2 linked regions of the Canis lupus familiaris genome follow. The protein of the gene in region 2 binds, or shares a complex with, the protein of the main gene of each other region. Links are inferred from orthologs where the notes say so. Each region holds a gene or a part of one and is shown on either strand. Other genes may lie near its edges. The genes, in order: COA1 and NDUFAF1.

Region 1 (3,816 bases), on a different chromosome or scaffold from region 2:
CCTTCCCTTTTCTCCTCCTGGGCTCCTCCTCTTGCCTAGTGGTACTGCCACCCTTCCATTCACCCAGGTTGGACATGAAAGCATCACTTCTGACCCACCCTCTCCTGACAGAACCAAGCCACAGCTCTGGCCCATGCTCTCACCACTGCACATCTGCATGGCGATGCTGCTTTCCTAAAGGCAGTTCCCCATACCTGTTCCCTGGATATCATCAATCAGCTTGAATTTGCTTTCTTTTAAAGCCAGATCAAATACTTTATCAAAATACTTGAGCTTGAATAGCTTTTGTAAGAAAAATATCCCAATGAAACAATTCCCATTAAAAAATTCATAAAAACAATAACCCCCCAAAAAACTAGATTAGGTCATCTTGCTCTTATCATTAAAATCCTTCCAGCTTCTGCTGGCCCCAGAATCAAGTGTGCACACTTCACATGATGATGTCACGGCCCTGCAGCCCAGCCCAGCCCAGCCCAGCTACCCACATCTCCCTCCACAGCCTGTACCTCCACTGAGTTCACCCTGGCAGGAAACACGGCGGCATGCCTTCACGTGCATGCTGCGCCTGGGCCTGGCATTCCTTTCTTCTACGACAATATTCCAGGTCAATACCTGCTCCCTCCGGAGCCACTACGACAGCACTTGCCTCACTCTGCCTTACTTGGAAGTTTTAAGCTATAGTCCTTGAAAGCCTGCATCTCTATATTCCCCACGCAGCATAGAATCATTCCTTTAATTTGACATGAACTCAAAACATAGTTGTCAGGTTGATTTTCCTGGCTGAACTATAAAAGAACATCAGATGCAACTGAGAAAATGGGACTGGCTTCCCATAGAAGCAATGCAAATAAATGGGCAGCAAAACTACAGTTTCCAGAGTTGCTCATATTTGAATGAGCACTGACTGGCTGTGGATGTACTTCAAGTTCAAAGCTGAAGCTGTGGCTCCACCACCACACTCACTTCCCTACAACCTTCAGGTCAAGATGGTGACCTGAGCCAGAACACCTCCTTCCCTGCACCATTAATTCCTCAGAAAGGAAGAAAAATATAGGAGAATAAATTAACCCATACAGCCTTCAGAAGTGCTCAGTAAAACCTAGGGGCAGTTTTGCTCAGTGAATTTTCTCATAAAATCTTATTCCAGATTCCTCCTAGACTCCCCCCAGATGGTGGGAGCCCTCTCCTCGACTTTGATAGGCACTCAGCCTGAGTCTGCACGGGAAGCACATTACCTGGGCATCAGCAATGTCCACAAAGTTGTACTTGTCAGTGAGGTGGAGATAGTGGATGTGGAGAGGAGGGCCCAGGGCTTCCAGGGCCTCAGGGCGGCTGTGCAGCTGCTCCAATGCCAGCTGGTAATAGGAAGCCTTGGAGAAAGCTTCTAAAGGGGAAAGACAGTTGTTATATATTTATTTTTCTTTTTTCAACTTGGTAGACTCTCTGCAGAAAGTCAGAGGACACAATTCACGTACAGCATGGAAACAGAAACAAATGTGAAATTTCTGGATGGAAAAATAATTAGGGGGATCCCTGGGTGGCACAGAGGTTTAGCGCCTGCCTTTGGCCCAGGGCGCGATACTGGAGACCCAGGATCAAATCCCACGTCGGGCTCCCGGTGCATGGAGCCTGCTTCTCCCTCTGCCTGTGTCTCTGCCTCTCTCTCTCTCTCTCTGTGACTATCATAAATAAATAAAAAGAAAAAGAAAAAAGAAAAAAAGAAAAATAATTAGGGACCATCCACTGTTAAGCTGTCCATTTTAGAAAAAGTCAGTATCTGCAGGAATATGGTAGATGAACGTGAGCAAGGTATTTGATAGTCCTATGCCTCAATCTCTCCATCTCCTGTTTCCTGCCTCACGCATTGCCTCATTTCTTCATCAAGGGATTGGCTTGGAGCTTCTCCAGTTTTCCTTTTAGTTCTAAAGTCATATGATTCCATGACTGGCTCAAAGTGACACAGCCCAAGGCAGAGCTGTGGCCACAGTCTATGACTCTGAACTTTTAAACACTGCTCCCTCCACTAAGATGAAGGTCCTGATAAACTGGCAAAAAAAAGGACCACACAAAACCCTTGGGCCAAGAAACAGAAACTGAAAATGCTAATTTGTCATGTTTATAGATTTTTTTTTTAAATATTTTATTTATTTATTCATGAGAGACACAGAGAGAGAGAGAGAGAGAGAGAAACACAGGCAGAAGGAGAAGCAGGCTCCATGCAGGGAGCTTGACTTGGGACTCAATCCCAGTCTCCAGGATCACGCTTGGGGCTGAAGGCGGTGCTAAACCGCTGAGCCACCCGGGCTGCCCATCATGTTTATAGATTTTTTTTTTAAATCATGTTTATAGATTTAAGGTAACATTTCATGTAGGTAAAGCCTTTAAATTGTCCTCAGTCGTAGGTACACTTCTTGGTCCAAAGGCTACTAGTAGAAGCACCTCCCTGAAGGTGTAAGATAGACAAGCTGTCCCTGGGAAAGAGCAAGAGTAGGCTTCCCAAGTAGGGTTTTCAGTTTGGCAACAAGAAAGAGCTTCCTTCCTATAGGCCTGACCTCAATTTTGGGACAGAAAGACACGTTGAGCCTGGAGGGGCCAAGGAGAATACCCCTCGCAGGCTGCATCCCAGGAGTGGGCTTGTAGGGGATGCTGCAGGTATGAACAGGTGCCAGCCAAGACAAGAAGAGGAGCAGTGAAGGCTGGCTCCAGATTTTCATGGCTAGACACTGTTCTCAATATTTCGTGTGTCTCACAGGGCTCAATAGATCACAGGTTGTGAGATTTTATTTTACAACAATTTCATGCACAGGCACTAATATTATCTCTCATTGCACAGATAACTGAGGTGAGAGATCCTCCCACAGGGCCACACAGTGCAGAGCTGGAGCTGGGATTCAACTCAGGAGGGTGGCTACAGGTACCAGCTGGGGTGTCTCTACTGGATGACTCCAGCCTTCTAAGAAGGAAAGGCAGGCAGTCTCCCAACCCCTAAAATGCACCCATTCGTGTTGTGTCCTGCCCCCATCCCCGTGGCAAAAGGGGAGAGGAGACTGAGCTATTCCAGTCTGAATTATCCCTGGCGGTGCTCATCTCAGGTCACCTCAAGACTCTGAGACCTGTGGGCCAACTCTGAAGGAAGATGGGGAACAATGTATGCAGAGGACACTGAGCTCTCATTGCCTGTCTGCTGGTAATACTCACATCCTGGCAGGAAGTGAAAATGGCACAGAGTCAGAGTGAGAAGCCAAGCTCGACAGGCATAAAGGATCTTCAAAGAAAGTCAGTCTTGGAAAAAAAAAAAAAAAAAACTGCTGCTGCTTTGCAACCAGCAGCATTAAAATGACCTTAAATGCCTTGGCTGTCCACAGTAATTGTGGCCTGTCTTTACAAATTCAAATTTGGTTGCAGTGGGGCTGGACGTGGCATCTGTCAGGATTTTGCATTCTGGACCCTGCTTTTATTTTCTGCTCTCACCAAAGTCTCTTGCTCAAGGTCCCCTCCTCCACTAAATCAATAGCAGAGAATGGCAGGGCAAACAGGCTGACGACACTTGAGAATCAGCCAGTTTTCCCCACCTGTGAACCATCTGGTATTCCCCTTCCCTCTCTTCTTTATATAATCTCAGAAATCTTAAGGGATCTCTTGTGTGTGCACTAGAGTAAAAGCTCATCTTGCTTTTTGAAAGGCCCCTGATGCAAATGAATCCTGGTCCTTTTATTTGCACTCATAGCTCCAGGAAAAACTAGGATTATAGGATAAGCAAGAAGCTATAGCCAATGGGAATAGTGTACGGGCTTCTAAAAATAGCCCTCTCCTCCT
Region 2 (3,816 bases):
ACACACACACACACACACACACACAAAGGGAGACAGAGGCAGAGGAGACACAGGCAGAGGGAGAAGCGGGCCCCATGCAGAGAGCCTGATGTGGGACTCGATCCCGGGTCTCCAGGATCACGCCCTGGGCTGCAGGCGGCGCTAAGCCACTGTGCCACTGGGGCTGCCCCAAAATTTGTATTCTTAACAACTACCTATACTGTCTCAGGAGAAGTGAATTGTAGTATTAATTAACAAAGGTGTTTGTTTATACCAATCGCAAAAATAATCTGATTTCAAGAATACTCACATATGAACTATTATTTACTAGCTGTCTTTTTAAATTTTTTTTTTTAAAGAGAGAAAGTCTGCACACACCGTACATGTGAGTGGGAGGGGAGGGAAGAAGAGGAAAGGGGGACGGAGGAAGACAGGCCAACTTCACCCTTATAATCTGAGACGAAACCAAGAGTCCACTGCTCTACCAACTGAGCCACCTAGGTGCCTCAACTAGCTGTATAACCTTAGTCAAGTTACTAAATCTCCCAAAGCCTCAGTTTCCTCATCTGTAAAATAAGGATGACCATACCTTAGAGGATAGTTGTGAGGAATTAAAGGGATGTATATACGTAAATGTATATGAAGTAGCACAAGGACTGGCAGGGCACACTTAATAAATTTTATCACCTATTTGCAATACCCCCCAGGTGTATCTAGCTATAGAAGTATTTTCTACTGTGGAATGACCAATCCATTCTGTGGATTTCAGGCACTGAAACACACACACACACACACCCTTTGTACGCATAGGTCTCTGAAAGAACACATACCTTTCTTTCTCATCTGGAAGGAGGGAGCCTAAGACCATCCCTATCATTTGCCTTTCTCTGTAAAGCACAATGCCCAAGCAAATACCCCAGGGCTGTGGCCGAGGCCAGGCATGGAAGCTTGTCCAGGCAGCCCTGGAACAACACCTCAACAGCAAATTTGCAAAAAGCCGTAAGTTGATGATGAGACAAAGAAGCCAATCTAAGTAACTGTGGAAAACTGCTCTGATTAGAAACTATAAGGCTAAAGACAAAGAAACTATATATAAACACTATATTCTGGTTGGTAAAATGGTTTCTCACAGAGTTATGGGCTAAAAGTTCTGAAACTGCTTCCTACATACACTGGGGATGAATCAATAGGTAAAATGATGGCAAGTGATGGGAGACAGATTTCTCACTATCAGAGAAGAAAATTATAGATAAGAGGGAGAAGCCCAGAATGAACCACATGGTACTACTGGATTAGAGTTCGAGCACAGTATAAACTCATATTTAGTTTACTACAGATATAGAAATAATTACAGACATGTTTCCAAAGGGTTGGTACACATCCCTGTATTTCCTGCTGAGGCCACTGAGAGGTCCTGGAAGTAATGTCAACCCAGTAGCAACAAACAAACCAGTGCCTAGATCTCCAAAAAGAAGAATCAGGGCTTTTTCAAGAAATGGCTAATTCTATGGAATTTTCTACAGAAAATACAAGATGTGCTTAGAGCATATCTTGTAGTGCAAGAAAGTACTAAAAAACAAACAAACAAACAAAAAAATGGAGGCATGTCAAAGGGACAAAAGCCAACCTGAAAGAGCTGCCAATTGCCAAAGCTGGAAGAATCTGAGCAACAAAATAAAAAACATAGTATTGGATTATAACCAGACTTTTGAGTCCATACAAAATGACTGCCTAACTAAATAAAAAATGTGGGAGAAAAAAATTTTCCTCTTTGAAGAATCCCAAATAATTTATGTAAATTCCACCCTTTCACAAGATACAACTTAAACCCATGCCCTACCCCATGCCTTGAATGTAGGATGCACTTACTGACTTGCTTCTACAGAACAAAGTATGAAAAGAAGGGGAAATAGTAACTTAACAATGGAGTACCCTGGCAAACACTATCTTGGCCAGGTGATCATGGCGAACACATTCGTGTTAAGTCATGTTGGTAGCATGTACCCAATAGGAGTGATGAGAAGGGTATTTCAACTCTGTGGTATTCTATCTAAAAGCCCAGAAACCCAGTCTTACAGGGAGAAAAACATCAGAAAATCCCAAATTGAGGGTCAGTCCACAAAATACCAGACTAGAATTTCTCAATCCTCATGAAAAATAAGGAAAGACTAAAAAGCTATCACAGACCAGGAGACTAAGGAGCCTAAGGAAACATGACAACTGGATGTAATGTGGTGTCCCAGATGGGCTTAAGCAGAAAAACTAGTGAAATCCAAATAGTGTCTGGAATTAAGAGGAATCCGCCAATGTTGGTTTCTCAGTTGTGACAAATGTATTACATCAATGTAAGGTGGCAAGAGTTGGAGAAGATGAATGAGGGGCATATGGAACTTTCTGTACTATCTGTACAATTCTTCTGTAAAACTAAAACTATCCTAAAATAAAAAGTTTACTTAAAAAAAAAAAAAGCAACAGGCTGAACCTACATCTGCTCTAAGGAACCTCTGGCCATCACAGGGTGTGTGGCCTACTAGGGAAATCTCCCCAAATCAACTGTTTAAATGTCTGACTTCTCAGGGCTCCTCAAACATAAGAACGGCCCCATTCTGGTTCTCAGGAACCACTTCCCCCTTATGCTTCTGCTTTACACATGTGCCCAGTAGTTACTTAACCCCATTCACAAATGACCTGCCAGGTGTGTTGATTTACAGAAACAAAACCCATATGCTACGGTTCATGCTACAATGAAATTCACCCCAGTTCACTAGAAAACAGGCTCTGGGGCTTCACTTACCCTTGGAATCCTGGATATCATTGCACAGTACCCACTGCGGCCACTTTCCCCGTCCTTAGGTGCCTCAGAGCTCAGAGTCCCATAGAGCAATGCACTCTGATTATTCCTGCCCATTTTCAGGAACACTTCACTTCTGCCTCCAATAGTCTTATCAGAAGTCACCATCCACTTATCTAAATCTTCTTTTCCTCGGAACTGCCAGACAACCTTGGCTTGTTCCAACAAGACCTCATGCAGAGGGCGGCCTTCGGGGCCTATCCAATGATTCACAATATCATCCTTCAAACGCCTAAACTGGTCCTTTATTTCATCTTTAATTGCTTTATCAAAACTAACTAAAGGCTTCTCCTCAGGAGAGGTTATATCCAAAGCAGCTTCTCTCTGGTGATGTCCCTGCAAATCTCCTTCAGAATTCCTCTGAGAGGAGGTTTTGCCAGGAGCAGCTACAGGCTTCTGAAGACTACTAGAACAATAGTCTACAAAATGAGTACCCAAAAATGGACATGAGGCAACATTTGGCTTTGGGCATTTTCTGAAAATATAAGTACCATTCAGAAATTTGAGAACCAAAGCCATGGTACGATAAAGTCCAAATGTAAATTTCTCCCTGGGCTATAATGGAAAGAAGCTTCTAACACCACAATTGCACCTAGAACAGAAAAGACATTGAACAGTTACCAGGGTAGCAATGAATGCATCACAATTTCAAATGCAACACAGATTGCGTTGTGAAATTCAGCAACTTATTTTCTAATTCTGTAAACATTTACCCAGAGCCTATTATGAGCAGAATATTGTTTGTGCTGTACGTGAAGCATCCCACTGCCTTGTGAAAAAACACCAACAGGCAAAAAAACAAAGACCCCCTTCACAGAGTTAATTATTGACCCCAAAATAATTCAGTTATGCACTTCATAAGGTTGTGTCAATCTTAAAGCAAATTTTTACGCTGGATTTTTTTTTTAAGATTTTCTTTGAGAGACAGACAGACAGACAGCATGAACAGAGGGGAGAGGGAGAAGCAGGCTTGGCAGGGAGCCTGA

The links.
Region 1: NDUFAF1 (region 2) and COA1 share a complex: the UniProt entries of both Homo sapiens proteins name them as parts of the mitochondrial complex. The link is inferred for Canis lupus familiaris from reciprocal best matches to the Homo sapiens genes NDUFAF1 and COA1.

Annotation. Positions count from the first base shown.
Region 1 is NC_049239.1:6,682,079-6,685,894, reverse strand, and holds part of COA1 (cytochrome c oxidase assembly factor 1 homolog), read right to left. Parts: intron 1,385-3,816; coding exon 1,236-1,384; intron 1-1,235. UniProt on the Homo sapiens protein: Component of the MITRAC (mitochondrial translation regulation assembly intermediate of cytochrome c oxidase complex) complex, that regulates cytochrome c oxidase assembly.
Region 2 is NC_049251.1:8,740,484-8,744,299, forward strand, and holds part of NDUFAF1 (complex I intermediate-associated protein 30, mitochondrial), read right to left. Parts: intron 3,423-3,816; 5' UTR 3,350-3,422; coding exon 2,774-3,349; intron 1-2,773. UniProt on the Homo sapiens protein: As part of the MCIA complex, involved in the assembly of the mitochondrial complex I.